2 linked regions of the Drosophila melanogaster genome follow. The protein of the gene in region 1 interacts with the protein of each later gene in a pairwise test. Each region holds a gene or a part of one and is shown in the gene's direction. Other genes may lie near its edges.

The links.
Region 2: the proteins of HLH3B (region 1) and byn interact in a two-hybrid assay, tested with the Drosophila melanogaster proteins (one large-scale study listed by BioGRID).

What each region holds. Positions count from the first base shown.
Region 1 is NC_004354.4:2,679,577-2,683,844, reverse strand, and holds HLH3B (helix loop helix protein 3B), read left to right. Parts: upstream 1-2,121; 5' UTR 2,122-2,186; coding exon 2,187-2,511; intron 2,512-2,608; coding exon 2,609-3,414; 3' UTR 3,415-3,646; downstream 3,647-4,268. Other genes in the region: CG2652 (uncharacterized protein), read left to right, coding at 1,021-1,728.
Region 2 is NT_037436.4:11,925,667-11,930,753, forward strand, and holds the start of byn (brachyenteron), read left to right. Parts: upstream 1-2,026; 5' UTR 2,027-2,357; intron 2,358-5,087. UniProt on the Drosophila melanogaster protein: Required for the specification of the hindgut and anal pads.

The sequences.
Region 1 (4,268 bases):
TGGCGTAGGTCCGAGGACCTGTGGACCCATGAATATGGATTGCGATTAGAGGATGGACGTAGCACATCAGGTGGCATTACTGGCACCACAATTCCGTCCCAGCGTTGAACTGTAAGCACAAACGGAGATACAAGCTCAAGTGAAATTACTTCAGCACTTGACTACTTTCTGATGAGATAGATGTCTGTAAAAAAATTATATCAATGTAATGAACAGTTTAAATTAATATCAGAAATATAGTGTCATATTCTCCAAACTAGGTTTCCTTGGGAAGTCTCGTTTAGAGCTGCTCGGTTGGCAACTTATGAAGGAATATAACAGATACGGGGCTCAGATCAGGTGGACTTGAAGCAGACCTTTAAACGAAGTCCTTGGCCTTGGAGCACCTACAGATTGCACTGAATGGTCTCGCTATCCTCAAAATGTCCACATTAGAATTCAGCTGCCCCGCTGAACTGAAGTAACGTCGCTGTGCCCGGAATATTCCCGGCCAAGTAAATGCCCGGGCCGCACCAACCCCAAATTCCTCTGACTTAGCACTTAACTCCGCCCTTCGGAGTCTGCGCATTGCGTACTCCCAAGTCCGCTAACTCTTCCCTAGTCCACCAACAAATTCTGCGTTAATTAATTAGAAAAAATCACAGTTTAAGGCGTGAAAAAATCGGAGATGGCCCGTTGTAGGACGACGAAGGCGTTGAAATTTCAACGCCTTTCGCGAAACTTTTGAAGAACCTTAATCCCAAGTTGGGATTAACATCTGCTTCGAGGGGGAAAACAAGGTAGCAGACATGCAACGGTTATTAGGTAGTATGATAAAATCTATAAAAAATTATATGTACATTAGTTATTACTTTAGTTAAATGCATATCTAGTGGGCTTCTGTTTTTGCTGTCGCTCTCGATTTGAAAAAGCATCACACCAAGCAAACAAGTTAAAGTTGCCTTCAAATTTTCGTAGAAAAATTTTTAGTTAAACATAAATTGAAATTAGTTTTTTTTTTTTTTTTTTTTTTGAATCGTGATGAGCTACACAAATCTCCTGCGCCATCAGAATGTGGTCGATGACTGCCAGCGGGTGAGCTGCAACCGCACTCCGCCGATCACTGTCACCGGGCGCTGTGTGATCAGTCGGGACATCGTGATCGGCTGCCGCATGGAACAGTGCGATCCGGACATGCCCTACATGCTGGAGCCGACGTGGGGCGTCTACCTGCGCCCAGGTCGCGATGGCGGCGACCTGTCGCGGTTCGTGCGGCGCGTCACCTTCAAGATGTCGCCGCGCCTGCCGCTGCGACTGCACGTGGCGGACAGCGCTCCGTTTGAGATTGGCGAGGTACTGGGCAGCGACTTTCCCGTGGAGGTGCAGGTGCAGTATATGGATGCCCGCATGTCGGCCACCTCGTACATCTTCCGGCCGCGCGTGGTGCGCGAGGGTCACGCCGGTATTTGCGAGGAGATGCTCGACAAGATGATATTCGTCAATCCCTCGCCCATGATGAGACAGAATCTAACGCCCGTGCTTGTGCCCAGTGCAAATGGTGCGCCCGGGGACAGGACATCGCCCCAGTTTGCAATGGAGTCCGCCATGCCGGAGACACCGGGTGAGCGAAAGGAACAGGACCGGGATCGGGAGCAGGTGGGCGATGTGGCGCGACCCTCGCAGCCGCCGGCAAAGCAGCCCAAGAAGCGTCTAAGTGTGGGCATACCCCATCCCATCGGTCATCAGTAGTCGTGTATAGATACATTGGGCTCTATGAAAGGAACAACTGAGAATGTTTGTTGTCCTGGCATGTGCAGTTACTGGATTGGCATTGGATACGTTTAAATTACTAAATAAATTATGAATTTCATTTACTTCTAAGACAGCTGCTTATGCTAATATATATTATAGTTTGCTCATACTCGTTTTATGTTTTGGTATCTAATCTAATCAAAAAGTAACAGGCTCGGTAAGAAGTCAGCCCAACATTGGTAACCCAAACGTACATACATATGTATGTACGAGTACGCCCATTTTGTGTGTATGCCTCGTCCGGGGGTGGATGCTGCGCCATTGGCCCCGCCCTCTGTCCATAGGGGGTTGGTTCCCAGACACACAGTGCCAGTTACCCAGTCAGTTGCTCACTTTGCTGCTGCGCTTCGAACGCAACAGAACGCACGTATCCTCTGCTCCGGCGAATCGGAGAGATGGCCTGGCTACCGAGCAGCTCGAACGGAGCGGATAACGCGGACGAACGGAGCACCGCCTCGAGCGGATCCTCCGGCCACAGCCAGACCAACGAGTCACCGCGATCCGGGCACCTGAACGGTAATGGTAGCATGCGGGACACTGCCGCTGGCAGGCATCCGCCCGCCCTGCTCCGACATGCCACGCCCCACCTGCAGCCCAAGACGGAGTCCATATCCGATGGAGACGGTGACGCGGAGCTTTCCGACTTCTCGCTCAACGACACGGAGGAGGACGAGGAGGATCTTCGCGATTACATCGTTCTGAATGGCAACCAGGCGGATGGTGAGGCTTAGTCTTTAAAACTTTAGAGCTCCTAGAACATCCCGTAGTTCCCAATTTCTTATATACATAACGCTCGATTCCTTTGTTCCGCCCGCAGCGAATCGCTCACTGTCCAGTTCGCCGCGCAGTCACTCCCGCAACGGACTGCTGACCGCGCCGGCCAGCTCCGGAAGCTCAGTCGGCGGTAGCGGCGGTGGTGGAGGCAATGGCTCCGGCGGCAATGCATCCAGTGGCGGCGGCAGCGGCGTAGGAGCCACCGGCGGTGTGCGCAAGGTGTTCACCAACACAAGGGAGCGATGGCGCCAGCAGAACGTGTCCGGTGCCTTTGCAGAGCTGCGCAAGCTGGTGCCCACACATCCGCCGGACAAGAAGCTATCGAAGAACGAGATCCTGCGCTCGGCCATTAAGTACATTAAGCTGCTGACGGGCATCCTCGAGTGGCAGCAGCGGCAGGCGCCCTCGCATCCGATCAGGGCTCAAATGGAGCCGAACAACAACGACAATAGGATGGCCAATGGCCATGCGGCGGACGGGGAGAATCTGGAGAATCCAGATGTTCCGCCTGTACGGCACATCAAGTGTGAACGCACCGACGGGCAGATGCACAGGAATGGCATTGGGCACGGACATGCCAACGGAAACGCTGGCAACGACCTGCTGATGATTGCCCCGGGAGCCGTTGTCAAAAGCGAGCTTCTCCTGGAGTCTACACTCCCACTTGGGCATCCGTTAAACGGCCCACCCCTGCCGTTGACCACTGCTCCGCTGGCCATGGCCGAGACTCAGCGAATCAGTGGCACCGTATCCGGTGTAAAATCGGCCAGCGGACGGAGTAGCAAGCGACGCCTCAAGCCGGAAGGCGGAGCCACCGATCTCAGTCTGGGCAAACGGCGCAGGACGTAGAATAAGGAATCTAATGGATGGAATCTTGGAAAAAGTGGATACCGGCTTTGCCAAAGCATTCGGAGATAGTATACTATCCCCGATTTGCTATTTTTTTTATCTACCAATAAATTACAAAGTTAATAGTGCAAATTGCAGATGCAGAATCAATAGTTATAGTTTGTATTGTTTATTCAAATTTCATTCTAAATAATTTACGGTTTAAAATAAAAAGCAAATTCGACAAATCATTAAAAAAAAAAACTTGCAACTGTGAATTGAATTTCCAATCGAACGAAATCAGTAAGCAAGTAACATAAATCATAAAATTAGGATGGTGAGCCAATCTAAAAAAAAAACATCTAAAATCCAAAAATCTAATAAATTTGCCACAAATTGTGTAATTATACTAATTTTTTTTTTATAGCAATAAAAATAGTTGTCAAAAAGTGGAATGTCATACCTCGTTGAATTCGTAACAAAATTCCCTATCGACCTGTATTGAAAATTGGAATTTCGAAAATTTTGCAATTTTTCGCAAATTTTAATGATGGTACCCCTTACCGAAAATCTGAAAAGTGAAAAAAAAATTTTTTTCCCAGGATCGTTTAAATAGTGATAGTAATAGTTAGCTATGACTATTAAACATGTTTTGGAGAAAATCGAGTTTGTAAATATTCGATTTTTGACGAACTGGAATTCCAGAAGTTGACACCTTCTACTGATTATGGTGGCCTGGTGTTGAGAATCAAGAAAGCCACAAATATTTTTTATTTTTGCACGGTAAGTTGAAAATTATCGGTTTTCAAGCTACAACCAGACATTTGTAAATATACTTTCTCAGCCCAAAAGTATACTACATTTTGCCACCGAAA
Region 2 (5,087 bases), on another chromosome or scaffold:
CATAAAGCGTCTACAATGCCGTGCGGTGAATATTTAGGGCAAGGACGCTATCGTCATCGAAAGGATTGAGGATCGCGCTGGTAGGGTTCGCCCTCATTTCCGCGTACTCCTCTGCGCGGCGCATTCTTAATGAAAACGTGCGGCATCTTTAATGAATGACCAAAGGGAACTGGAATAGGTAGCCCAGACATCCGTCACGGTTGCGACAACTACATGGCGATCCATTCGATTCACTTGTCTATCCGCCAGATACATTTCTCCATTAGCCAACGCTCAGCCCTCCGGAGTCCCCTCCATTTTCATTTCCATCTCCGACTATTTTATTGAGTTCCCTAGTCTGTTGATTTTTCTCATTTACTACCGACGGTTGTACTGTTGTACCAGACCCTTAACTAATGGCCATCGTTGGCCGCGAGCTGTTTGTCTTTCAGCGCCATAGAATGCCCAACTTTTTGACCGTTCCCAGCCCCCTAGATAAAGTCGGTCCATTGACACGCGGCGATGACTTGGAACCGACTAAAAAGCGAGCTGCGATCCACGAAAAAACACAGACTGCCGATGCAAGAGGCGCGTGATCTCAAAAAAATCACGGAAAAGCTATAAATAGTTGGTGTTTCGAGTCTCGCAATATACAACTTTGAAACAACCCAGCAAACTTTCATTGAATCGCATTTTACTGTATTTACTATATAAATTAGCAATGAAATCAATGCAATAATACACGGATAATTAAAAGATATTTTTAGGTACATTTTTTCTATTTTATCTTCGATAATAAAATATAATGTTCGAAATGTAAAGTAAAAAATACAAGTGATATAGCATTTTAAAGTGTGATTCTCTCCAATGTGGATGCAAAATTTCAGTTGGTCATGTGTGGTCACGCACCGCCCCAAAAATCCAGCAACTCCGCCCCGGGGTAACTTGTATTTTGGCCACATACACAAATTGACGCACCAGAGTCAAATGTTTACAACTCGAAATTCAGCTGAAAATTTTACCAAAAAAAAAAAGTGTTGGATCGGCAAACCCGTTTTGGAGTGCAAACAGACCCCGTGGAAAAAATACAAAGTTTTAATTGGTTGGACAAACAAAACTCAAAACGAGCGTCTAAACAAATCAAAGCCACTCTGCGGCGAACAACGAACAACGTACTGTGAATCCAGACCTCAGACACACCGAAAAAAACAACTCAGATTTACATTTTAATCTCAGATTATCCTAGTTTAAGGGTTTTTGTTAGTGAATATCTTGATCTTTTGTATTGCATCTATTTGATATCAACCACTTATTAAACTATTTACATATGGACTCCAAGTAGTAACTCAAAAACCATGATTATGTACAGTAGGCATTTAATGAAAGAAGTTTCAATAACAACGGATGGGATATAAAGATAAAAGATTCCTTCAACTTCCAATCTACGGCTGAGACAAGGATTCCTTTGACAAATTCAGAGCGTCTATAATAAAGATCACAAAAGATAAGAGACTTTTTCTCTCTGTGCAACAAATGTGAGCAACTGAAACACGTTACACTTAATTTTTGGCGCATGCAAATTGAACGATTAGCCACGGGGGTTACAGCAGGGGTATATAAATCCCGCCTAGGACTCCAATTCTGGGCCTTCTGAGAGTTAAAGGTGTGCTCGCCCTGAACGATCCGACCCACCTGAGAGTTCGATGTTATGGGGGCTCTCTACCTGTTGCCGGGTTCTCGATGGCGATGGCCGCAAATTGACCAGCCGGGTGAGCGAGCGAGAGGCGAAATACCGCCGCTGTCTTACCTGTTAGAGGGTGTGGCCTAACCATCCGTCAGCCAGCCGATCATCGATCGGGCCAAAACGAGATGGCTATAGGACCGGTAGAGAGCTAGCACGCTAGCCGGCCATCATATCATCCATGGGCCAAAACAAGAAAACAACAACGATGCCACGATGTCGATCGGCTGGCCAAAGACGAGAGATGAGAAATAGAGGAACCGAAAGCGCGGCTTGTGATGGTTGAAAAAATTAGCACCGATCGTTGATCATTAGCTCGGGAACGGTGGCAACGCAAACACACGATCGGCGGCAGCGCTAAACTCCAATCTCGAATCTCGACTCGAATCAAATATCTTGAAATCTTTGAAAACAAATTTCACGCGGCTGTATCTTCCCACTTGAATCTGAACTCATACGATAGTGATCCTTGATAAAGTGAACCCTCTAGGGAATTAGTGCTATAAAAGTGCGTGATTTGGCAGTGTTGCGTATTCAACTAAAATCTAAATCTAAACCTAAACCATCTTCATAAGGAGTTTACCACTGGATTATATCGAGAGCGCCGAGTTTCGGCGTGAAGCAGGTTACCAAATTGGTAAGTTAGTTGCACTTTATCTCAATTTTGGTTTCAAAATTTTAAGTTTAAACTTCATAAGAAAGAAACTTAAACGAAAATTCGAAGTTTATTTTAAGAAACGCTTGTATTCCTTTTTAAAACATCTTTATTTTCGAACAGAAGTGTTAAACACTTCGTTTTAAATGCTAATAACAGCTATTAAACATTGCGAAACGTTGACTAATCTTTTTACTATTCAAAAAAGAAAAATCAGACATTTTTACGATGGAAGTAGACTTATGCGTCGGCAAAGGATATGTTGTACTTTTAAATATATATTTGGAAATAATTAACTTTTTGAGAAGAAAATGTAAAAAATGAAGTAGAATTGTGGCAGACAAACACTGACCCCAAAACATATGGCTCCCAAAAAAATCATAAAGTCACTTCTCCGATTCAAAAGTTTGGGTGCCATAAAGTGCGAGTGTTTATTCCTCCGTGTGACATATGACCATAAACGTAATCAAATAGCAAATTGGCAAACCTATTTAAACGAACGTGTGAAAATCAAATGCCGAAGCCAAACAAAATCACCAAACAGACATATTTTGACACTTGGCCAAAAAAAGAAGAAAAAAGTCAAGACGAAGTGTTGGCGGCTCGCCCGAAATCCAACGGGCAAGTGACAAAATCCCCCATTAACGATCCTAATAATACCTCTAATGACATAAAACAGCAGCCGAGAAAGGGGCGGGAGTGGCCGTGGGCGTGGCCGACGTTCACACGCAAATTAGTGGGGACATAAGAATTTTCAGACATGCGTCTGGGTATTGCCAAAAAAAAAACATCAAGTTGGATCGATCTGAGGCGTCCAATTACGACGCATGTGAAAATTATCCTATTAAATGCAAATCAAAGAGGCCCATAAACAGACCCGAAGGAACCCCCCTCACCCCTCCGCAACGCCCACGCAGATCGTTTAGTACTTGACAAATGCTTACTAATTAATTACAGTTTGTACAAAATTTTAGTACGCCGCTCATAAAAGTGCGCCTACCACTGTGCCGTGGAGTGCTGAAAACAAAAGTGTGACAATCGGTGTTTAAAGAAACGCCCACAAATCGCCAAAAAAAATATATCGAAAATATCCTGAAAGGTCACCAAGTTCTCAATGGAGCGACCTCTGACATTGTCCTCCGGAAACATTATTGATTGCATTAGAATCGAGCCAATTCACGGCTATTTCCATTTCAGTTCGCCCACGCAGTATCTAAATTTAAATTCGGTTTATTTTCACGCGAAGTGGTGTGTGAAATTTAGCAGATTCGGTTTAATCGCCTCCAACTGGCTACCAGTGACTTGTCGTCATCCATGCCACCCGCCAGCATCCTGAGCAGGTGCGAAATATTGTCCTTTTCAACAAAGTGCGAATGGGAGTGGGATAAGTCGATCGGAGTAGCGAATAAACAAACAGAGCATTTATTATTGCACGTGTTCGATTACCTGAGAGGAGGGCAATTGTGGTTATTGCTTTGAATTATATAATAGATACACTGGTTTTTATATTTTATAGAAAATCGATAGGTTAGCAACATCATCTCTAACTAATTTTAATACATTTAATATTTTAGCATTTATTGAATTTCATGTTTAACTACAAATGCAGCGCGGAATCAGTTAAAGTTGAACTATAATAATATTATTATAATTATTATAATATAATGAACTATTATAATAAAATGCTGCAAATTTAACATGATTTTTAGTGACTTTAGTGATAATCGTTTAAGAACCATTAGAGTGCGCTGGCACTCCTTCCTTTAAAAGTTAAAGCTGAACCCATCGAAATGTATCTATGAGATTCGCCGAATGTGTTTCCATCGGCGACCATTAGTGCGTACCTGTACATTGAGTACGTAAGCGCCATATTACCAAAGGTTCGCTTCGATTTGGAATAGCGCGCACATTTCATACGAAAAAAATAGGAGGAAAAAACCCCCTCAAAGCGTCTGAGTAAATATCAAAGTCACGAAATGATTCAAAAATCAACAGAGCCAACAACAAAGCGGCTGGCCCGAGATGGGGAAAGAGTCCAATGCAAACCCCAAGCCCCAAGCCCGAAAACCCGTCATGGCTGCCATCAAAAGTCAAAGTATATGCCACATATATACACATGGGCAAACAGTCACACACGCTTCCTCCGCTGAGGAGACAACACACAAAAACAGCTTTTCATTAAGCTTAGTGATGGAGCCGGAGCTGGGACACCGCGTCTTAAAATCGTGGTGCTGGAGTGGCGCGGTGGTGCGGATCGATGTGGAACACAAACACGGCCATGAGACGAGCCATGTGGCGGGGAGCCATGTGGGGGAACCAGCGTCATGAAGAGTGAATTTTTATGATGTCGTCGATGTCGCCTATTGGGCACATGAGAAAAACCCGCCAAGTATCGCGTGAAAATTATGATAATGCGGAGCGAGCACGAGCTGGGAAAATCGGAAACCTTTGAACATTCATAAACTGAATATAACTTTCGAATGCTGGCCCAAAGTGGTTGAACTTTTAAACTCGGCCGATTGAATTCGAATTGAAACTTTTAATTGGGCCCAGCTTCTGGTTGAAATGGTACGGACATTCGGGCAATAAGATGTCCCTGGTTAGTTGACAAGTATGTTATATTAAAGTTGGTATCCACTTTTAGAAGTTAAAATTGAAATTTATCCAATGTAAATGTATCTTAAGAGTTCTGATTTGATTCGTTGTCAACTC